Linked DNA regions of Arabidopsis thaliana. Changing the gene in region 2 together with the main gene of any one other region gives a genetic interaction. Each region holds a gene or a part of one and is shown on either strand. Other genes may lie near its edges. The genes, in order: SOS5 and CESA6.

Region 1 (12,643 bases), on a different chromosome or scaffold from region 2:
TTACCCTTTCTCGTCAATCTGTTGGAAGGTTTGCATTTGGGAGATAACATCTATATCACCTTGAAACTCATCGGAAACACTCTCTGGTCCATGAGTGAGTAAATGCTCAACAACTATTAGTGAGTTATAAGCCATCCTCCAGTTTCTCTTATCGAACTTTGCCAATCTAATTTACACCAAACAATAACAACAACAAATGCTCCAAATCTCAGTAATAGAATATGCTTGTTTAAGTAAAATGTATCGATTAATCACAAGTTATGTAACCTTTTGTGCAAGACTTCAACAATCGCCAAGTAATCTTCAAACTCAAAAGCAGCCTTTGAAATGGACCCTAAGGTTTGTGTATTTGGTCCACATGACTCACCATCCGTAGCTTCCTCAGTCATTCTTCAACCAAATTTACATACACATAAATCTGTGTTAGAAACCAAGACTCCTGAAAAAAAGATAGAAGCAAGAAGCCAAAAATAAAAAAGACTAACAGTTGAAGAGGAGTAACATCGGTGAGAGCTAAACGCGCCGTTTTAAGCTTCTCTTTGAAGAAAAATGAAGCTTGTTTCTTCAACTCAAGGAAAGATGGTGTTCCCATGGCGATGCTGCTTCGAGTTCTGCTCATCATTGACATCTTTCTTTCAAATTATTATCAAGAACCATATGAGAAAAACGAGAGAGAGGAGAGAGGCCTTTGGATCTATTTCTTTAGTGTTGGGTTAGTTCAAAAACAGATGAATTCTAGATTGGTCATTGAATATATGGACAAAAAAAACTTTAATATAACCAAGAAAAGTCCAAATCTGTGATCCCCAAAAAGGTCCACAAGATTGAAAATTTTGAATGATCGTTGATCGTTTTACATTGGAAAAGTCAAGCACTATAGTACCACCAATTACCATTAATTCCACATCAATTGCCTCAACTGATCTGATTTTGAATCATTTTTATAACTCATAAATTCATAAAAAGACATAGAAGTTACAAAATTAATAGCTTGAAAACGAATTTCTCGATTGAAAATACATGAATAATTCGTTTTCAAGATCAACAGTTAAAAAGAAAAATCTTAAATTACTCAAATATACGGTTTAGTAAAATAGTACGGTAGTAGTGTGTGAGCGAGCACAGGGGATCAATGACTCCCTTCTCTTTTCACGGAGTCAGTGAAGTGAAGTGAATAAGGTAGAGTTAGATCTGGCCGTACACATCCACACGCGCGCTGATGACACTGGGATCTTAAGATCCGACGGCTCTAGATAACCCGAAAATCTAGCGAGAAATTGACTTGAGAGATAGGCGATCTGGACCGTCGGTGTCAACTTGGTAGGACCCACTACTGCACCTGTCACGCACTCACTGTTTATTATTCCGCTGAGCTAATTCACTCCTGATATTTAGATTCCATACAAACTTCTTTAGAATTTCACCACACCTCAATCTATATAAATTAACCATTTAAAAGTTACAAATCCACGTGTTATTTGTAGAAATTAGAATATACTAATGTTTAGAAAATTGAGGTCACGCGGTTGCATGATGAAGTAAAATTTATTGACATATTTTAGGTTGAAACTGGGAATAACCTTCGGTAAAAGATGATTCAAGAGCAAAAGAGAAAATGAAGGATTTATATAGTCATGGGTTTTACCCAAAATCGCCCATTCAATCCAAATTTACATGGGAAAGTGAATTTGTTTTTTCCTCGACTCAAATACAATAACATTATCGTGAATAAATATAAACCCTTGTGAAAAAAAAAATCCAGTAAAAATAAATAAAGCCCTAATCGAAGGCAAAACATTATGTGATAAAAGAAAGAAAGAAAAAAAAATCATACCAAAACATAACAAAATGCTATACACCAACACCACAAGACCAAGAAACCAAGTGGTCTTTTAACCGCGCCGGAAGAAACTATCTCACGCGGTGGTGATACTAGTCGTGACGGCTGTTCACTAGAACTCTCCGGCGACAAAGAAATCTCCTGTGGAGGAGCTGTGGCAACGGGTTGACCCGATTTTGGAAATAGTTCTTTAGGCAAAAGAACTTTGGATACTCCGAAAACAGAAACCGGGTTTTGATCAAAAGCCGTTTGAGTCACAACAGCTAAAACCACACCCGAATTGATCGTTACGATTGACCCGTTAACCCGGGAGATGTTGAGAGTGTATGAACCGGCTCCCATTTCTTCAGTGGCTAATGTCGGTTGAACCGGGTTGGTTATTGATTCTAGTGAACCGAGAGTGTAGTATGAATGTAGCACGTGGAATTTTAACACGAATGCTTTTTGCTCCGCCGGTAATGACTGGAGGTTAACGTTGGAAGGGAGATCGGAGAAGGCGGAGTCGGTGGGGACGAAGACTGTGATGCCGGCGCCACGTTCGTCGTTTTCGAATTCTGTTATGACACCGGAAGCGACGAGGAGGGATAGAGCGACGTTGAAGTTGTGTCCGTTGATTAGTATCTGAGTGAGATTGATTCCCGCCGGTGGAGGGGAGAGAGATGTTGACGTCGGCGGTGGAGTGAGAGTCTCCGATGCGGTGATATCGATTCCGGTGGGGACGATGAGGGAGTCCACGGTGAGGACGGTTATGTTGGGAGGTTTGGTCTCGAGAAGCTTTAACACAGTGACGTTTTTGGTGGCTGGAGATCCGATCGTGACGGATCCTGAAGCCGGGTCACGGGTTACGTTAACGGATCCAGATCCAAAGAATGTACGACCGGAAGCTTCGTAGAGAGTAGTGACGGCGGAGCCTGACGGTGGAATACGTCGGAGATCGGAATCTGAAAGGAACTGGAGGAGGACATGGAAGCGGAGGAGATCTGCTAGGGCGGAAGGAGGTAGGCGGCGCGTGAGGTCCAAGGAGGCGGAGGAGAATTGAGAATTGGGAACGGCGAGGAGGGTTAATGAGTTTCTACCGGAGAGTTCGGCAGCGATGCCGGAAGAGACGAGGAGGTTTGAGAAAGATGAGAGATTAGGGAAAGAGGAGAGGACGGCGGTGACGTTAATTGCGGCGGCGGTGGAAGATAGGAGGAGAAGTAAATAAGGTAATGCGAGAAGGGTAAAATGGGAAATTGAGATTACGTTCGCCATTATTTTTTGAGTTAGGTCATGAGATTGGTAAAGAGAAGAACACAGAGAAGGAAGTGAGTGGATAGAGAGATGGGAGTGATGTGTGAGTGAAGTTTGGTGGACGAAATTAAAATTAGAGACATCGTTGGGAATTGTATGACGCGCGGTGTTTGGGAGTTTGAAGTTCACGCGTAGAACAAAACAGATGTCATTGTGTCAGAAAGAGAGATGCTTTTGTGGACACTTCTAGTCTTGTAGTGATTAGATTTTGGTGAGAAGATTTATTTGATTGAAATAAAATTAATGTATTTTATGTGGTGCCCACGTGGGGTATAGTTTTAATAATAATGTCATTAAAGTTTTTTTCGTTTGCATGTGAGTTTCCTAGCTGTGAATTAATTAAGCTGCAGTCACTTAATCTTAATCAACAATAGTACAATGCAATTACTTGGATTAGATAAAATATCGAATTAGGATTACCGTTTAGATTGTTTTTTTTCCCTCAAGTTTAGTGTATTTGATTTAGAAAGGAATTCAAATAGTTTATGAGACTATTTAGATAAGTAAGATAACCATATGTATGTAGGCGAGTATTATATATTTGGTACCGTTACTATATATCGGGCCTAATTAGTAAAACATTAGGCTTTAATCAAGTCTAAGTAATAAAGCCCACCAGGCCCAATAAAGAAAATCGCTAGGGTTTAAGTCTTAAGCACAGAACAAGGAGGCGATGAAGAATTGAATCTGTAGTCGAAAGAAAAGAGTTGGGAAAAAAATGGACGCAAGCATGATGGCTGGACTTGATGGTCTTCCTGAAGAAGACAAAGCCAAAATGGCCTCCATGATCGATCAGCTTCAGCTCCGTGATAGGTTCGTCACTTAGATCGGTTTCTCTGTTTTTCATTTAGGATTCTCCCAAAAAAATTGACTTTTAGCTCCTTGAAATCTTTGTTCTTATAGTTCAAAGCTAATTAGATTTGCTTTAGAATATTGATTCAAGGTTAGTGTGTACTTATTTCTGGCTAATTATAGATCTTTGGGTCCTTATGGTTCATTGATAAACAAAAGTTTGGATTAGAGTTAGTGAAATTGTTCTTTAAGATGTAACTGTGTTGTCTCATTTTGTGTGTTGTTGTCAAAACTCACAAAATCTTCACATTATTTAGGTTGTAACAACTTATGCAATGCCTATTGTTGTTTTGTGTTTAGGCCTTAACTTTGGCTACTTTTGTTGAGTTTTGTTTTTGGTGAATTTCAGTTTGAGGATGTACAATTCATTGGTGGAGAGGTGTTTCGTGGACTGTGTTGATAGCTTCACACGCAAATCTCTGCAGAAACAAGAGGAGACTTGTGTGATGCGTTGCGCTGAGAAGTTCCTTAAGCATACGATGCGTGTTGGTATGCGGTTTGCTGAGCTCAATCAGAACGCACCAACCCAAGACTGATATAGTCTGCTTTTTCTGTTTGGTTTTTTCGTACGGTTTACGAGTCCGAAACCAGAATAAACCGGTTGTTAGTTGTTCAGGTTACTACTCCGATACTGTTTTTTGAACATCTTGTACTGTGAAATTATTTTGACTGTATCCAGTTCTGATATTGATATTGACTTGTATTTCAATGGAGTCTAGAGAATATCATATCATATCAGTATTACATCGACCAGTTCCAAATTTTCAATGTGTAATATTGCTTAACATCTTGAAACTTTGTTACAAAAGAAATCGAGCTCTAATCTAATCTAAAGGTACCTTATTTGTTTTAATGATATCGACATTGGTAAGTCTAGTTTAATCAAACCGAAGTTTTGCTCGGAACCGTAGATTTGATTTGTGATCTTCGTTGAAGACGAGAGAAAGAGTGTAACTCTCCAAGAGAAGGAAGAGAAGAGAAGAGATGAGATGTAGATGAAACAACTTGAGTTCTCATCATGATCGTGTACGAGTTTATTAAAGTTACAACTTCTACGTTTGGCAAAACTCACTATGAGTTATTTTTGGGAGCAGATCATATTCGGTTTGATTGTGGAACATTACTACAATACTACTACTTGATTCATGTAGACGTGAGCGAGTGACTGATTTTCGTGAATGTCTATTTATTAAATTAGTGATAATAAATTAACTAAATTTGGTAATTGAAATTCTTTATAGGTATAGAAAAAGCCACCTTCTCTGTTGTTAAAAAAAAAAAAGGTAATATTAGTGGATAGCGATATTTGACATCATAATTAAGAAACTAATCATATGTGAGAAATGGGGGGAACGGCCTATTCCATCATGAACTTAGTTGTTTTATCGTATTCATACACATAACTTTGAGTCGTGCTTATAACTACATGAACTTAACTAAAATTTGAATTTCCTATGTAAATTCGGTCAAAACCATCAATTCGACAAACGGTGTTACTATTTTGTTAACGAGTGCTGACTGGGATGCCACGTCGTATCACAAAACGGCGTCGTTTTGTTCAATTATAGAAAATAAAAAATCTGAAACAAAATCTTACAAAGTGGAGAATCAAACCAACAACCTTTGGCATTATTACTCCACTTTGGAACCAGTAGAGCCAAGGTAACAATTGTTATTTTGGTCGTTTGAACAATTATATATAATGTAATAAATTAAAAATAATAAAAAATGTTCATGGAGATTTTCAAGTTTACGGGAGATGCTTTTCTTTGAATATCAGACCACGAGGAACATCCATGTTTTGGAAGGAAAATTGGAGAATGGAAACTGAGAATAAGCTGGTGGAGAAGAAACTTTGAGTCGTGTTTATAACTACATGAACTTAACTACATGTTTTGTGATACGACGTGGCATCCCAGTTAGCACTCGTTAACGGAACAATAACACCGTTTGTCGAATTGATGGTTTTGACTGAATTTATATTGTGTAGGAAATGCAAAATTTAGTTAAGTTCATGTAGTTATAAGCACGACTCAAAGTTCTATGTATGAATACGATAAAGCAACTAAATTCATGGTGGAATAGGCCGTTCTCCCGTGAGAAATGTTGGGTAAATGATTCTTTTTGTGGTGGAGTAGGGGTAAAGAAAAGACCAATTAACTTTGTAAACTTATAGTTTTTACAATGATACTTTTATTTATGGTGATAGAGATTTCATAAGGTTTAGTGAGAAAAAGAAAAGAGACTCCGAAGGTTCAGTAAGAAAAAGAAAAGAAAAGAGATCTAGAGGTGGAAGCCATAATCATCGTGATATTATTACAGGGTAAGTAGTCTAGAAAGGGAGTCATCTAATGGCAAAAAACTAAAGAAAAAAAAAAAGAAATCATGTGCTTTTTTAAAATAACATGAATCAAATAAAAATAACGAAATAATAATCGTCGTGATATTATTACAGAGTAAGTAGTCCAGAAAGGGAGTCATCTAACGGCAAAAAATTAAAGAAAAAAAAATCTATGTACTTTTTAAAAATAACACGAATCAAATAAAAATAACGAAAGAAACAACTTGCTATTTGTCCAAAATCTTATGTATTTTTGAACAATAGCATGTCAAAATAAACAACATCATGACATATTAAAAAATCATATGTAAAACATAAATATAGTATGTTAAAACGGAAAGATACCAGTATATCATAAAATATTACATAAAATTCAGAAAAACCATAAAAGTTTACGAAGTAACACGAATCAAATAAAAATAAAGAAAAAACAATTTGGCATTTGGTCATGGTCACCGTAATATTATTACGGAGTAAGTGGTGGTAGACAATATCCATAAAATGAAGAGAAGTCGATGACATAAATCCGGCGATAGAAAGAATCTTAGAAAAGAGAGTGAAAGAAAGAGAAAAAAAGAGAGAGAAGATGAAAGAGAAAATGAGAAAATGATATATTAGTAATTTTATTTGCCTCTCCGATAAAGTACTATTGCCCATAGTCATTTACTCTATTCTTTTTGGTTTCATGGTTATTTTGTACATATACCAAAAAAGGAAAGAAAAAGTCACCTTTTGAATATTAAAAAAAACTATTTAAGTTTAGCTATGGAATATAATTAAACCCATTGAAATTTAAGAAGTCAAGTTGTTGGAAGTTTTGTTTACTATTGCTTAAGTTTATGATATAACCAAGGTCATGTCTTAGTTATAGGATTTGAAACAATGGCCTACGGTCTTTCTTCTTTCATAATCATTTTAAGTGTCAATTCAAAAATATTAATGTAACTTAGACTTATGTATAGAAACCTGATTTTCTATATGTAATCAAGGACAATTCAATTTTAATCAAAATATTTTTTTTTATAAATTAATAGTGTCACACTGCAAAATTCTATTAATTTATCGATAAATGAAGAATTATTAGATTATACACACTTCTAGTTAATTTTGTAATTTTGAAAAAAATGAATATGAAATAAATTGTGTTTTTTAATAGAAATCAATATCCTTTTAAAACCAAATCCAAGATAACAAAAAATTATTTATACCTTGAAAACAATACAAAAAGATTTTGACGTACTAAAATATTATTAGTGAACCCTAGGATTAATACATAGTTAAGAAAAACAAACAATACTAAAATTATACTTTATTAAATTTTCTTACATATTTATATATATACTAGATTTTAACCCGCGGTATACCGCGGGACGATTTATTTTTTAAAAGTAATATATATTAAAACTTGCAAATTTTATTTTTATAAAATATTTATATTTTACAGTTTATAATTGTTATTAAGTAACGGTATACCACGAATCCATGAGATAATTGTAAAAAAACTGAAGTTTTAACCCCTATTAAAACAGCATATTAATAATATTTTAAAATTTAATAAATATTGATTCAAATACATCCACCATATAACCTAATTCCAAAATAGAACTCGTTCTGTAATTTTTTTACCGTCCATGATTTTTTTTTAAAATAGTAATTTTTAAAATTTAAGAATAATTTTTTATATAGAAAAGTTTTGCAAATTGTATCATTCTCTAATACATTTATATCTATAGTTTAATTTTATATATAGTAACATTATGCATACCACATAACATTTTTGGTTTTATATAATCTTTTCTAAATTAGGATGATTTGATATGTTTAATATTAGTGGTCTTAAAAAATAATAAATTAAAGATTTAACCCGTATTAAAACGGTGGATTAATTATATTTTACTTTTTTATTAATGTTGATTCAAAAACCCGTCCCTCCAAATCCGTCTTGTCAAAAAGCTATTTATTTTGTTAATATTAATTTTATTAATATTTATTTTATTAATGATATGATTCTGAATTAGAATCTAAACATTTTAGCTAATAACATAGGAGTGCACCATATTTATTTAATAGGAGAATGTCCATATGACCCGAATGCACTTTTATCCAAATCCACCAAAAAAGTCTTGCAAAAATACTATAGAGATAAGAAACGATAGTCGGTTTTGATAGGTATAAGATTAGCAAATATATTAGTTAGCATAAATTAGTTAAAGAATACAAATTGAAAAGGTATATTACACTTTATTCGAATATAGTATCAAAACTTATATAACACAGAGATTTGATAAAATTTTAATTGATGAATACTTTTTTTGTGCTAATTTTTATGTGATTAAGATTTAATTGATTTCGTATATAAAATATTAAATTGACTTATTTGTTTATAATTTGGTAACAGATAGATATTTGAATATTCAATATATTTTGCTTCTAATCTTTGATGATCCGTCTTTAGATCCAATAAGCCCTATAATCTAGATATTAACTTGCGGTATATATTTTAGTTAAACTAAAATTTTTTATTGTAAAGATGATTTAAAAATATTTGATATTATTTTATTTGATTTTAAATGTATAGTAAACTGTGAGTTGTATATGTTTTGTTGATATTATCTATATTGTTTAGTGTTTAAGATTATACACTTGTAGTTTGATTGTTAATTTAAGAGTTTCATCTGTAGTATACCATCTTGTATTAATATCGATCTAAACATGCAATTCTAGGATTTCCAACTTGTATTAAAAATTAAATCACATCTAATATGTTATTAATTATTGTAGTATATAAGATTATAAATTTTCAATATAATATGTATGAAATTGAATATAAATATTTCAAATTATGACCCGTTACTTAGTAGAAAGTTTTCTTAAATCTATTTTTTATCCGTTATAATATTTTTTTATGTATTGAACAGTTTATATTTGTTTTTAAAAATTCAATTTATGGCATATGGGAAAAAACTTTAGTTGTTTTTTTATAATGATGATATTATTTTTCTGAAAAAATAAAATCATATAAAAATGAGAAGTGAACTATAATAATTAATAAAAAATTAATATGATAATTTAGATATCAAATATAATTTGTTGATTTTAATTGGTTACTTTTTTAGAAATTAATAATGTATTTCGTTTTTCTAATTAAATTAAATTAATTAAAATTTAGATATCAAATCTTATATGTTGACTATGATTGGTTATTATTTTTGGAAATTAATAATGTATTTCGTTTTTTAATTAAATTAGTATTTGACTTTTTAATCCTTAAAGAGATAAATTAATTTACTCTTTAAAATTTTATTTCTAATGGCATACCTATGTAATTACTTACAAAAATTAAGGTTACATTTAAAATGTACTTCCCAAATAATATAGTAGGATGTATTATATATGTATTATATATATATTGATAAATTTATACAATTATTAATTTATGATACTGATGTGAACATATAATAACATTTAATTTTCAAACATTTTTTTATTATTTTAGGTTAAATATTACGCTGACCCGACTCGAGACCGGAAAATTTTCTTAATTTATAAAGGTTTTTTTGTACAAGCTATTCACAAGTTAATTAAATTTACAATTGTGCTCACTTCTTTTCTTATAGTTAATCATCGGAAATTTATTATCTTAGTTTTAATTTTAGTAATCTCTCAACTCACAAAAAATCTTAATCCTTTGAAAATCATAAAGATGTTGATGGAATACTTCGAAGAAGACGAAAGGATTCACTTTGATCCAACGTACTAAGAAGTCATCAACGATTAATCTTAAACGTGAGCTAAGATGTGAAGACTCCAGAAACTTCATAGTGATGAAGGATGTTTATGCCAAGGAGCCATGGTTGCTTGACCATTCCAACAATTCTTTTTTCAAAGAAGACGAGTGGTACTACTTCTCGACAAGAACTCAAATCTCCGAGAAGAAGATTGGTCGTGGTAAGTATTCAAAGGGGAGATCACGGGAGACAACAACAATGGCATCGGCCGCGGGAATTGGAGGGTGAATGAGAAAGAATATATCATCGACAAGGACATAGGGGATATCATTGGGATCAAGAAAAACCTAACAGATAAGAGCGGCAACTAAACCAATAAATCATGATTCAACGATTTGGTCGTACAATTTGTCAAGTATTTTATCATCTATATTTTAAAGTACCATGCAGGAGATAGCTTTTTGGGTTATTGGTTTATTGGTTGTGACTTGTGATTTAAGCCAAAAAATAAAATTTTGGTGGTATGAATCTAAAATTATCATATCTAAGCAAAATTATTGTTTTCCAATTATGATTAGAAAACAATATCATTTCTACATATAAAAAAAAAACAAAAAGGAACTTTTATTAATTTAGTATATTTCTAATAGCATAAACCAACAAAGCAATAATTCAAATAAAAATTGAACCCTCAGTGGCATAGGTATATCAAAGGAGACAAACTCTCCACAAGCTTGGGAGCTTTTTCTTCAGTTTGACGATTTGGTTGAAGTTGAAATATCGACGCAAGGTTGAACATCCTCAAATGCTCTAATATGAACATCAGCTAAAATCTTAACGTCTACATACGCTAACACACCATCCTCATACATTTGTGCAGCTTCTGTTACCAAAAAATACTATTTCATCTTTTTATACAGAGGAACTTACTGTACAATATTGTTTAACACCTTGAAACTTGGTTACAATAATTGAAGCGTATATACCTTATTTGTTTTCATGATACCGACATCGTAAACCGGGGTGAAGTCCGGTTTAAACAAACCGAAGTTTTGCTCTGAAACCGAAGATTTGAGATTCTCGTTGAAGAGAGAAAAAACATAAGTTTCGAAAACCCGGTTTGGCATCAATGGAGTGCCCTTACCAGAATTCACATGCTTTATAAGGTTCCCATTGTAAGCTGCGGCATAATCTAAACCGACGCCGGTTTGGTTCGGTTCACCAGCTGAAGGCCAACCGGTCTCAGCCACAACAATGTCCACGTCACCGTACCCAAATCGTTTCATTGCGGAGTAAACAGCATCAAGCTGAGCGTCGAACATGTTGGTGTAGTTCAACTTCGTAACCGGGTCAACATATACAACGTCGTTTGTGTTAAAGAGTGCGTAGTTTAACGTTTCAGGTCCGAAACCGAAATATGGATACGGGTTAACCATAAAAGGAGACTTGGTGCGGTTGTGGAAGTCTAGGATTGGAGAGAAGATGGCTTTGTCGTACCCTTTACGGAACTTTCCGGAGCTAGGTGGCTCGGAGGAGCCTGAGAGGATACCGAGCGAGTGAGGCGTCGAGACTAAGATCCTACTGACGTTAGCAAGGTGTAATGCTAACGTAAGCGTCTCCATAGCGGGAAGGAGATGAGTGATGAGGGTTTTGTCGGATGTGGCGACGACTTCGTTTCCGACAGCAATGTAACGGATTGAAGTTGTTAGGAGGAAGGGGAGGAGGTTGTCGGAGAGCCATGAACGTGCGTTGGAAAGCTTGGAAAGAGAAATGATATCGGAGTTTGGGACGGTGACGGTGAGGGAGATTCCTGTAATGCCGGAAAATGCGGCGAGGATGTCGTGGTTTGTGTCGAAGATTTTGACGTGGTTGATTATTGTTTTTGTTTTGATGAAGTTGACGACTTGGTGAGGCGGTGGGAGGTTGTTGGCCACGGTGCCGTAGTTTACGCCGACTTGATATGCAGCGGAGAAGGGAAGGATGAGAGTGAGAATTAGGAAGTAAAGTTGATGAACAACTCTAGATCCCAACATGATCGTGAATGAGTTTATTTTATGACTTCCACGTTTAGCAAAACTTACTAGGAGTTGTTTTTTGGGAGCATGATCGTGTTCGGTTTGATTGTGGAGACGTGAGCGAGTGGCTCCCAAAAAATCACTCACTCCTAGTAAGTTTTGCTAAACGTGGAAGTTTTGCTAAACGTGGAAGTTTTGCTACATAATGTAATAATCATAAATTAATAACATTTGATAATTGAAACCATTAATAAGGATGTAAATAGTTGCAAATTAATTGTATTTGGGGGTGATTGGGAAGGGACTCTCAGACCATCCTCATCGGACAAATTTAAAAGGTGTCTTCAAATTTTAACAGAATAAAAAAAATAGGAAGATGAGAATTAATGCGCTGAATAGGAGTGACATGATGACTTTAATGTCTGTGGAAAAACATTTTTTGATACGGGAAAACACGAATGTGTCACCATGCTATTGGTTGGTGTTATTGTTTTTTATTTTTTCTCTTCATTTGACCAACAATTTTCTCTCTGTTCATTTTATCAATAAATTTCTCTCTCTTCATTTGGCAGTTAAG
Region 2 (12,643 bases):
TGGCAGGGAGAGAACAGTAAACGATGAGCGGTAGAGAGGTCCACGGGTAAACCACAGAGTTAATGTAGGACAACCGCTCAAGCCATTTCAACCCACCTCCATAACCATACCAAATAGGACAATGCCTACTCAAGAAAATCTCAACCGACCCAAGCGCCCATCGAAGAACTTGATGGAGACGATCCGAAAGATTGATTGGAGCTGATCCTTTGAAAGCCGCTAACTTTGGTGTACAATAAACAGATCTCCAACCATGAGAATGCATCTTAAAACCCGTAAGAATATCTTCGGTAACAGAACCATAGATCCACCCAATCTGAGATTTTTTTCACAAGGTCATCATCAAAATCAAGAATTGATTGAATAAACACAACAAAGGTTTAAAACCGGCTGCTTACCTCTTTTCCCCATTCAGTTTTATCTTCATATCCGCAACTAATGACTTGGATGGCTTCTTTAAGCAGACAAGCCGGGCTTGCGTTTCTAGCCATCCCACCATTCTCCATACGCGCAGATGCAACAAATACAGGAGACTGCCCAAATTTCTTCTCCAACTTCATTTGCATTGCCTCGGTTGACTGTTCTACGTTAGAACCTAGAATGTTTTTTAAATTTTATTTTTTTAGTAAAATGCACCGACTAACGAAAGAGTTTAACAACAAACAGGATTTGTATGATACCTTTAGTGACGCGGCCCTCTTCGATATTTTCTAATGCGTGGATCTGCTTTGACGCTTCCCTATTCTTCTTCTTCTTATCCGCAGCCACTGTCTTTGCTTTACGATTCTTTCTTGAACCAAAACATAGGAGACACCATTTTGGCCAGCAATTGCATGTCTTACGTGGGCCCTTCTTCTTCTTCGGTGCATCAAATCCGTAAAGCGCTTGCCTCCTGAAAACACAACCTGTACCGACGTATATAGGCCCTTGTAGCCCATCCAAACCTTTCATATTGATCTGTAAATAAAGATTCATTAGTTGGTATTCTACAGAAATCTCAAGAAAAAGGGATACAATAGGAAAGTGGTGGCTGTACTTACATCAAAGAACACAACATTGCGATTTGAGTATCGATCGTGCCTATCAATCCCATCGAACCTTTGAGGGAACTGAACATAACAGATTTTCTTTCCTGACTGAGGATCCATCATGAAACACATTGCTTCTCTAAGAGCTTTGCTATTGTTGATGTAGTGATCACAATCGACATTCAGAAGGTAAGGAGCATTTGATAGAACCCCAGAGACTCGTATCTTCAACAAAAGTTTTGTAGATGAAATCAAGAGTCAGGAACCATTTCAATAAATGGCAAGACGTAATTTACAAAGAAGAAGGTTTAGAGCTTTAAAAAGTATATCATTTACCAGGGAATTCATAGCTCCAGCCTTCTTATGGTGATCAAATCCGGGTCTCTTCTCACGAGAAACGTAAACTAATCGAGGCAACTCGTTGTTTTCGACATCACGAACACCGTCACTTCCAAGGAAGACCTTTAACAAGAAAACAAAGTATAATTAAATTTTGAAGGACAACACATAAGAAGGCTTTTCAGAAATAAGAAGCATTTGAAACTCACCTGAATCATGCCAGGATGATCTCGCACACTATTACCGGGCCAAGGTGTACCGTCTTGCATAGTCCAACCATCCTCAGGCACTTTCTGTGCTGTTGCTACTAAAGCATTGATCTTTACTTTGAATTCTTCATAATCTCTCTGTCAAAACCAGTAAAACACACAATCTTTCAAATCAATTTTCAAAGCCACCATCTTCTTTCATAAGAGCCCATATAACAAAAGATTGATAACTTTTCTCATGAATTTTTTTTTTCTAAAGCAAGAATCAATTAGACCAAAACTTTTCTCATCAAATCAAATTTATAAAAAAGTAAGAACTAGTAACCTTCATGGCTCGCCGCTCCCTAACAAATGCGGGATGAACTTTATTCTTCAAGTAGTCCATTTTATGGCAGAAATACCATTCGGGAGCACGAGGCTCAATACAATATTTCTTGCAGAAAGGAACCCATTTCCTTGCGAATTCAGCGGTCTCAGAAAGAGCTTCGAAAGTAAGCATAGCAGCACCATCATCAGATACGTAACAAGCAACCTTATCGACAGGATAATCAACAGCAAGAATAGACAAGACAGTATTTGCAGTAATAAGCGGAGGCTCTTTCAATGGATCCACTGTACTAACAAATACATCCACAGGGGATAGTCCCGACGGTTTCCCTTCTTTCTCATATCTGCAAACAAAAAAAATAAGGATTATATCCCCAAAACAAAGTTTTAACATTTCCAAGTGTAATAACCCACAAGATGTAAGTACCTTAATGAGAGTCGGTCCAAGTACGTTTCTCGCTCGATAGGGTACCATTTAGGGAACTGATCAAGAACCCATGAAACAGCAAACCATATCTCACATATAACAGAAATAAGCCACAAAGCATATGCATCTTTGACGGGGTGAAGAATACGGTAGTGAAAGAAGAGACCAAGAATCACAAGACGTAGCACAATTAACATCCGGTAAGGATTTATCTTGCTCGATTTGATTGGTATCTTCCTAGACAATGGCTGCCTTCCCTCATCCATCCTAAAATGGAAAAAAAAGGCTTGATAAATATCACTGCAACGGAACAAGACATCAACAAAAAAAATTATATTCTTTGCCTTACATTGGAAAATCAGCATCATCACCATCTTCAAAATCAGGATCTCCTTCATGCCTAACAACCTGAAGTTTCTCATTCTGCTTTCTCTTCCATTCCTCCATCCGATCTTTCCAAGCGACACTTCCATAACCATAAACCGCAAGATCTTTCTGAGGTACCATAGGCCTTGGATGTGCAGCCACGGTCGGGTCAGAAAGAGAAACAGGATGAACTCTATTGCCATGACCACCAAGTGAAGGAGGAACAATAAGAGCATGTCTATCAGAAGAAATCTCAACGTCCTGTAATAAAACAAAAGAGAAATCTGAGTGAGCCAATTACTGAAGATGGGTTATACAATGTGGATACATTCTGAGATTTTTACCTCGTCGCCGTAAGTCAGCAATGGAATCTGAGAGCCAGGTGGAGCTGAATCCAAATCAGATTGTGGGAAACCGGAGTTGCGACGAGAGATTGACATACCTTCAGAAACCTGATCAAATCCAATCCCATTATTTCCATACTCAAACTCATTGTCTAAATCATCAATGTCATCTTCCTCTTCATCACCTTCAACTCTTGGACTTCCTAACAAACAACAACATAGGCCGAACAAATCAGAAAATCTTCTACATTCACAAAAAACCAAAGAAATTTGGTCTAACAAACAACGAACCTTTAAGACGTTTGAAACGGGTTTTGCACTGTGGACAAGCTTGATTGCCTTCTCGTCTTTCGTACTCATAGCAAGGTCTACACACAGGGAATGCACATTCGTTACATGCCACAAACGGTTCTCCATCAACAGTCAATTCGATCTCATCTCTGCAGATTTGACATGTCTGTCCACTCAGCTCTTGGACTGATCTTATCTGCACAAAACAGTAGAGTTAAATACATCAGATCATAGTAGTGACACTATCAGACTGGATCTCACACCAGATCAAAGTAACCCAATAACATAATTATTACTCTTCACATTGATAGATTCATAATTGCAATTGAAGAAATCTCTTAAATTGGAGAATTAAGACAAGTCAAATCCGGAAAAATCCATCCCACCGACACAATCAATTCTTGATAAAATTAGCTACAAGGGTACGTAATCTTAATACTAGTACTAAAAACCCTAAATCTTAATTGATTTGCAGTGGTAAGAGCCAGATCCACAAGAAAAGTAAAAAAAGTCAGAGACTTTTGAACAGAGATAGAGAAACACAGATCAAAAGACAGAGAATTGGAAACAAAAGAAGAGGAGAAACATACTCGGGCATTCTCATCGGCATTAATGAGGACAAACTCATTCCTGTTGTGAGAACCGGCGATTAACCGACCACCGGTGTTCATATTTGTCTGAAAACAGACACAGCTAACAATCTTGGATTTCACAGATCGATTGAGAAAGAGAGGAATGTGTTGTAATTAACTCAACTCGATTGTCAGAGATCCAGAGACCATAAATCAGAGGATAGATAGCTCTCTTTCTCTCTCTCACACACACACAAAGCGGCAAACCGGAGTCTAAAAAAACAGACTTTGATGGGAAAAATATAATAAAAATACAAAAGGGGGAATAGTGAAGGTGTATTGTATATATGGAGATGGTATTGATTCAGCTGCAAGCCACAACCTTTTCTTTTCTTTTGGTTTTGGGCCTCTCTCTCCTCTCTGAAAGTGCACACAGTCACAGAAATAAAGGATGATTCCAGAGCGAGAGAGAGAGAGAGAGTCAATGGTGGAGAGAGAGAGAGAGACAGACGCAAGCCTGCGAAATGATGATAAAAGGGGGTTAAGTACAAACGCGTAAGGAAGAAGAGAATCAGTGATTAGTTAAATGGTGTGAGATAATTAAAGGCAATTATGTAGATGAGGAAAAAGAGCACCAAAATTAGATAAAATTAGTAATTAAATTTTGAGAAGTAAAAGAATGTGGGACCCATTAAACCTTGTGTGTATCTCTCTCTTCCACTCCACTTGTTGTTGTAAAGAAGAGATTAGTAAAAACTTCCAAACACACATTATTATTAGCCATTAATTATTAACAATACTGTATTATGTGATGCATTGAATCACCCTAACATTTTATTTTGTCTCTAAACTTTAGGTCTTTTGTTTTGTTACAAAAAAAAGTCACCTTTTTTTTTTGGGTGATTTTCTTCACCCTAAAATGTGTTTAATTTGGTTTCGGTTAAATTTTCCTACCATACATGTTTTAAATATATAGTAAAATCAAATCTACTTTGGATGGAGCCTTTTAGATTTAGTTTAGATCATATTTGGTTTATTAAATATATATATTTTAAAGTTAAAAAATGAAAATAATATAAATGAAGTGAAACTCGGTTTGAATTAATAACTACATTTTGAGCCAATTCAGAGTGGTTAGTCAATTTTCTCTATTAATCAATTGATAGCCGAGATTGTATATAATCATTATAATTTTATTTTCGTTTTAATTATTTGTCTGCGTACACTCTCACGTTCTTGCAACATGTGCAAGAAAATAATAGTTGTAATGAAATAGTATTATCTTAATTTAAGATTAAAAAAAAAGTTACACAATCAAGTTCTTAATTCCTCTAATTATTTTGTTAGAGAGACTTCAAAATGTCGAGAAACAGATATGGGCATTTACTTCCCAGACAAAAAACAATCTGTAAGCATCGTGTCCAAGATCCTATTTTCTAGTTTTTTTTTTTGTTCCTTCTAATTTTTTATATACTTTTTTTTTGTTCCTTCTAATTACGTTTAATTTTTTACTTATTAAATTTATTGCTTAAGTTAATTATGTTCTACGCATGGACTGTATCATGGTTTTTGACTGTTGACTGCATTGGTTTTCACTTTTGCTTCCCTCCTTCCTCTCTTATGTTTTTACTTTTCTAGTTTTTTTTGTTCCTTCTAATTACGTTTAATTTTTTACTTATTTAATTTATAGTTTACTTATTTAATTACATTTTTATTAGTTTAATATCTCCATCCTCTGATAATTTTCTTTTTAGTTTTTATAGTTAAATTATTTTTCAACTTTGATCACTCTCTTTTGTTCAATCAGTTCTGTTTATTTTACTATATTTTTTTGTATGTTATGTCTACCATATTTTTAAATAACATGCTTTTTTTTTTTTTAATCTTGGCTCCACTCGCCAAGTCGCCATATAGCTAATTTTTCCTCCGTGCTTAAATAAGAGAAAAATGTTCAAATTATTGAGACTATGGTATCACATCACACAAATATATGCGATTTGCCCATGTATGATGTCTATACTATATGTATACATTTGCCGACAAATAGTTCGTGGTATATATAAAACAATATTTTAACAGTATTTTGCTTGTTGATTTTTTTTAATCTTTTGACTTGTTGATAGATATAGTCCGGAAATTAAAGAAATATTAAGAAACTTTCATAAAAAAAGATCGAACTTTAGTAGGTTACCACATCAAATGTCGTTTTCATGATTGATTGAATGCTGTGTACTGTCTTCTCCAAGCCCTCGTGCCACATGTTCTTATAGAAACTGTCGGTGCCCTTATATTATTCTTTTTCCTAGTAAATATTGTTTTAATTTTCAAGACTATAGAATAGAAAAACGTTTAAATTTTCGCTTATGTATAGTTTACATTACTTTGGTTCTTTGGAAATACCCAATTTACAACTATATATATACCACTAACTAAGTACATAAAAAAAAATAAAAAATATATTGCTTCTGTTTTTACTAGCAGATCGAGCTGGAGCGCTTGGTCAACGTGATTAGAGATTTTATGTACGTAGACCCGATTAATGTTTGGGTTGCACTTCAACTTGATTCGATCATACCACAGCTATTTACAAAATTGGTTGTTTCAACTAAAAAATATATTAGAAAAATACATAATAATATGTAGATCGTTCAAATTTTACGTTTTTAACATAATGTAAAATCTACTAGAAACTACATAAACCTTAATGGCGGGCTCGGTGTTAGAAATTTGTATTACTGAAAACCATAACTTGCATTACAGTAAAATCTATATATAAATATGATGTTAAAAAAATTCTTTCAATAATTTCAAACGAAATGGTATAAATTATTGATAAAATCTACAATTATTATTCTTTTTTTCTTTTCCTCTTTTCGGCTTCACTTGTAACTGATACACTCACGATCCATTTGCTGAGCGACGCGGAACATAGCCAATTAACGAGTGGCGAATACACCATTTTATGTGGGGTTTGTTTGTCGTTCACATGATTTTTTTTTTCTTTGTGTGATTACTTTGTTTTTTTCTCAAAATTTAATTGTTCTCGCTTTAAGATTACGCAATCAGAACGCATAGGCTTAGGTTGCACAAAAATTTACGCTTCATGATTAGCAAATTTACACACACATGTGTGTATATTGAGTAATGAGTTATATCTATATTTGCTATATATTTAGTATAATTTTGAGTAGTACATATCCAGTGTGTCAATCAAAGTAACATAGACCTTACCGAAAACAAAATCAAAGTAACATAGACGTATTACTTCACATTAAAACCAAAAAAAAATACATAGACGTATCAGGTCAAGTCTATAATCTACCTTGACAAAGAAGAAACCATTACAACATATACACCACTTAACCCAGTAAACATTTGTGATAAAAAAAAATAGTACTTCTTCGTTGGAGCATGTTAAATATTGATATAAACAAGTTCAAAGATTTAACTTCATTAACATGTTATTCTACAAATGACCGAAAACGAAATTGGTGTTGAAAAACTCATAGCGTTTGCGACATAGTTGTGTTGTTTCTTTAACCAAAACAAAATGTACCACCTAGGCTATATCACATAGTTGCTTGTTTCCTTCTTTATTCCTTTCTTTTGTTTCCATTTTAAAATTTCTCAAAGTTAATTAATTTAGCGATCGAAAATAAGAATCCTTCTATATATATATATATAATATAAATTATAGTGTCATTGCTTAAAAATCAAAGTCGCTACAGAACAAATGATTCAGCCGGAAAAAAGAAGATTTTATATGATGTCGGGTGATTAATCTGGAACAAAGCTCAATCTCTGTCCCTAAACGGAAACTCAAATGTAATTATGTATTTTGGTGGAAGCACATAAATGGTAAATTTCTTTACGTGTACATGAATTTAGTTAAACGATATGATTAATCTAAACACGTGTTGCATGACTCATGGGTGACTTTTGACTCGTTGTTATTTTACAAATTGTTTCTAGTAAAAGTGTAATCATAACTGCGAGATAGTGCGCAATGAGTAGCTTTCTTTAAAATATCTAATTTATCTTTTTCTACGCTGGCAATTTTCGTTGTTATTTATCTATTATTGACGACCAAAAAGTGCATATTTACGACGTGAGCTCAAAGTAAGAATGTGTTTATTCCATAACTCTCTGAAGAATAACATGGTTATAAGTTATAACCTTAAAATCGAAGACAATGACGACAAAATCAAACTAAAAAACAAAGACAACAAGTAAAATAAAACTACCCTTCTATATTGGTAATTTTGGTGATGTACATTTTTACAAAAAAAATAGCTAGACTAATGTTAACATAAAATTAATGTTTATAATTCAAACTAATGATGAAATGTAGAGAAAAAATCTAGCTTTCATTTGTACTACAGAATGGAAAACATCATTTATTTTCGAAAAAAATAATTAAAACTCTATGGAACGGGGAATACCGGAATAATCAAATTCTAATTACTTATTAGCATTAATAAATTGTTAATGCCACGTGTCAAATAGTAATTATCTTGTCGGTGGAGTCCATAAGAGGATGTTTTTAATTTTTTTCGTCCATAAGGAGAATTTAAGATTGGTAAAAATCATATTACTAATTAAGTATCATAAATTGATACATATATACGGCAAAACTTAAATTAATAGAATTTTTTAAAAGACCAGTTTGGTACACATGTATTGAAAATAATAGGTGCAGTAAAATATTTCAATAATTCATAGCCAATAATCTTCTTAATTCTTATACCTCCTACACTCTAAAAAATGTCATAACACACCAACATGGACTAATCCCATTAATACGTTATTTTGTAAAATATTTGTGGTTGCATTAAATTTGAAAAGTATATCCTATATAATTAAGCACAAAATTATATAAAGATGAATAAAACAATATTGGACAGCTGTGAGATTGCTTTGTTGTACTTTAGACAACAAACAAAAAAAAAAGTCTAACTGGTCCGTATTAAGGAACTCTCCTCTCTCAGATTTCGGGCAGCGTTTGAGATATTCTTACGGGCAGCGGTAACGTTAGGTCTTCTTTGCCTTTCGACAGCTCATGGCCAGTTTCAACTTCCACGAGTACAGTTCTTTATATTATACTCGCGACCTCATTGGTTCGTTTTAACAGTTCTGTTACCGTACGTTCGCCTGATCAGATTCGGACCGAAACTAGTTGTTTACTTTCCGACGACCGAGTAGGATTGTTCGGGTAAGATTAATGATATGATTTGGACCGTACGTAATTTTATTGTTAAGCTCAAAGTGGTTTTTATTAGTCGCTAAACGATCAACATTTTACTTGGCGTTAAAATAATTTCTTAATGTTTCAAAAATAGTAAAATTGAAAACTGAATCTTCAGAGAAAAATATAATCTCAAACCACATTTGAACCTTTTTTTTTTTCTAGTAAAGTAATAAATATCAAAACTAAAACATTTAGAATGTAATATAAAAAATAATATAAAACATCTACTATGTTAGAAAATGAAAAACCACATTGAAATTCTCTAACTCTGCTACTCTGCTTCCGAAATAAATTTAATATCTAAACGATAATCAGTACGGTCTATAATCGTCTATTGCGTAGATGTCTTGTAACTCGTTATTTATTTTTTGAATAGTGGTTAAGAGGTCATCATCGTAAAACGACTTTAAAATGTCAAAATCGAATTAAAGAGTAAAACAATTTATAGTTATTAATATATAATATATCACTTGAGGGAAGTATGATATACCGTTGTTAATTGTGAAGTTGAATTTGTCTTCCTAATAAAAATAAAATTACGGGGCGGCGGATAAGAGATTAAATAAATATAATATGTGAAAGAATTCACATGCAAAAGATTGGTCTTAACTCTTAATATGCCATTGCCATGTTCTTCTTCACTGCTACCCCATATTTTCCAGCTATGTGATTCTCTTTTGTAAGTTATAAAACATTTCATAAATCAAATCAGAGATTCAGTTTCGTTATCTTTTTAAACGTGGGAATAATTGGGAGAAGAATAGAATCTTAATTCCTAATTTGGTAGATTCAGAAGGTAAAGTAGGGAGAATATTTAAACAAAAAGAAAAGGATATTACTTGATTCCAAGTTCAATCGGATGGGGCAATCAAATAGCTAAAAGTTACCCCACACACAGATATGAAATTATATATACAAGATTTTAAAAGTTACCATCAAAGTGGCTGTAGTTTAGTGGTTAGAATTCCACGTTGTGGCCGTGGAGACCTGGGCTCGAATCCCAGCAGCCACACTTTTTACCCCTTTATTCTTTTTCACTCATTTTCTCATAATTGGGCTTCCGATTATTTCACATCCTTTTTATGTAAAACGGACATTTCCTTGTTTTCTCCCCAATTGTCAAATGGGCTTTTGGAATCATCTAAGTATAAAATACTCTCCTCCTCACATAGAGTAAGTGAATCTACAAAATATTCCAGCAAACGGCTATTGTAAAACCAAAAGGCCTAAAAAAAGTTTTCCTTCACATACAATGATACAAGTACTCTACAAAATATTTCAACTTTCCAACTCCAAAAAACCAGCTATAGCCTATAGTAGAAGAAGAAAGGTGAGTTTGAGACGTAAATAACAAAATCAATCGAAGTCAAGATTTGTTGTTTCTTCATTTTTTCCAGACACGAATTGTACCATCGACCGAAGAAGTCAACATACAGTCTTCCTTCGGGTGGTAACTCACGCTTGTCACCTGCCACAAAAAATTTCAACAATCGAAGATAAAAATCAACATCAATACTATTCTGAAAAGATTTAAAACAAGTTAAAAAGAAGAGAAAGAATCTTTACCACTAAATCGTGAGCTCTAAATTTCGATAGCACTTTTGCATCTACCAAATCCCAAAAGAAAACCAATCCATCCTCTGATCCTCCAATCACATGTGCATCCGAATTCGTGAGGCAACAATCCGTTTTAAATGACTGTTTTTTACATACGATAAAACCAGTCATTAGTCATACACTAAATGTTGTAACTAAGATATAATCAAGCAGCTATATGGGATTATGGTTTCATTATCTTTCAAACTAATGACTAACCTTGGAAATATGACCTTTATAGACTTGGAGTAGCTCTCCTGTGGTCCTGTAATTTTAAAGATATTCATAAGAATTAAGACAAATCTGCAAAGGGAAATTTAGTTTAGTTAGAAGATACAATTTGGTTTAGTTTCTTTTACCTGTCAAGTAGACGCAGAGTAGAATCCAAGCAACCAGCTAAAACGCAGTTTCCATCATTTGATATCGATATACAGTTAACCGGTTGGCCTAGGTTATCTGACATCTCCCTGATTTCAATTAAAACAGAAATTCCCAATCAATCCCAGAAGAAAGAAACATTACCAAATTTTATCTCTTGTAATGAGTTACACATACCTACCGATACGCATGTCAAATGTGCGAACTGTTCCATCGACACTACCACCAATAATCTCAGTCTTTGTTAAAACAACAGACATGACTGTATCCAAAAATGTATCAATGATCTGGAAAACAAAAAAATCAAAGAACAAAAAATCCACTTTGATTTAGTTCTTAACTTATTACATATTCCCAGGATTTTGAAACAGCAAAACATGAAAGGAGTAAAACCTGTACTGGCTCAACACTGTGAGATCTGCAGTCCCATACACGTAGCGAACGATCGAACCCAGCTGATACAACCACAGACGACGAATCATTGAACTTCACTGCATTGACCTGGTAAGATCATTGTCATTAAAAAACAAGAGATCATCAATATACCTAAGGAAACTAAACCCTAAGCAATCCAGATTCCTCGTTTTTGAGACATTTACCTCTCCATCATGACCACGGAATTTACGGATTACACGTCCAGTTGAAACATCCCAGTAGTAAACTTGCCGATCACCACCACATGAGCAAAATTTGGCATTGTCTCTGTGATACAAAAATCATTGAAACATGAATAAACAAAAAAAACACATTCATCATATCAGCCTCCACCACAGAAAACTGCAATTAGCTTGACATTAATGTAACACAAACTCCTAAAATTTGAAATCTCGTGTCTAATTCGATCGTTTATAGCTGCAAGCAAGCAACAAAAATCATTGAAACAACAAAAAGCTCGGGAATGTGAGATTCGTTCTCTTATGTACTCAATTTAAGCTGAAAGCAACAACAATCAACACACAGAACCAGAATCCAATAAATTTGGACTATCTAAACTTAAACTTAAACTGCAGAAATTGAATCAAAATCACGAATAGTTCAAAAGAAAAAACATCAGATGAGAAAGAGCTGATTTCATACGAAGTAACATGAACGTCGCGGACTTCGCGGCCATGAGATTTGTAGGTCTTGATTAAGATTCCACGGTGCGGGTTCCAGAGGCGGATAGTTCGATCCTTGCCACAGGTGAGAGCGTAGTTTCCGTCACCGTTAAACCTCGCCGCTAAAACCGCCCCCTCGTGGCCTTTAAGTATGTGTGCCTCCTTCGTCGGCAGCTCCGTCGCGCTCATCTCTCTCGCCTGAAACTTACAATCACGTTTCCATAGAACGGGCTTATACTAAACTAAACATAATAATTTATTTATTTTAATGGGTTTCCATAAAGCCCAATTTAGTTGGCCCAATAGCTTGCAAAACTGGGCGTAACGGATAATTTAATAAAGACACGGTAAATGCTTAGATAGAGGATTAGAGGGTAATTAAATTAACCACGATCACTGTGATAATTACTACAACATTAAA

Evidence for each region.
Region 1: changes in CESA6 (region 2) and SOS5 impair growth when combined (synthetic growth defect), as found in Arabidopsis thaliana (one study listed by BioGRID).

What each region holds. Positions count from the first base shown.
Region 1 is NC_003074.8:17,134,784-17,147,426, forward strand, and holds SOS5 (Fasciclin-like arabinogalactan family protein), read right to left. Parts: upstream 3,477-12,643; 5' UTR 3,092-3,476; coding exon 1,829-3,091; 3' UTR 1,563-1,828; downstream 1-1,562. Other genes in the region: AT3G46540 (ENTH/VHS family protein), read right to left, coding at 5-166, 268-390, 486-628; TIM9 (Tim10/DDP family zinc finger protein), read left to right, coding at 3,849-3,943, 4,332-4,518; AT3G46565 (NAC (No apical meristem) domain transcriptional regulator superfamily protein), read left to right, coding at 10,148-10,271, 10,286-10,422; AT3G46570 (Glycosyl hydrolase superfamily protein), read right to left, coding at 11,014-12,084. UniProt on the Arabidopsis thaliana protein: May be a cell surface adhesion protein that is required for normal cell expansion.
Region 2 is NC_003076.8:25,872,914-25,885,556, reverse strand, and holds the start of CESA6 (cellulose synthase 6), read right to left. Parts: upstream 4,525-12,643; 5' UTR 4,003-4,524; coding exon 3,922-4,002; intron 3,528-3,921; coding exon 3,332-3,527; intron 3,244-3,331; coding exon 3,041-3,243; intron 2,958-3,040; coding exon 2,680-2,957; intron 2,598-2,679; coding exon 2,331-2,597; intron 2,248-2,330; coding exon 1,902-2,247; intron 1,715-1,901; coding exon 1,577-1,714; intron 1,491-1,576; coding exon 1,365-1,490; intron 1,254-1,364; coding exon 1,041-1,253; intron 958-1,040; coding exon 681-957; intron 596-680; coding exon 399-595; intron 317-398; coding exon 1-316. Other genes in the region: AT5G64730 (Transducin/WD40 repeat-like superfamily protein), read right to left, coding at 10,536-10,619, 10,718-10,849, 10,967-11,012, 11,107-11,214, 11,303-11,412, 11,519-11,626, 11,725-11,827, 12,203-12,411. UniProt on the Arabidopsis thaliana protein: Catalytic subunit of cellulose synthase terminal complexes ('rosettes'), required for beta-1,4-glucan microfibril crystallization, a major mechanism of the cell wall formation. Involved in the primary cell wall formation.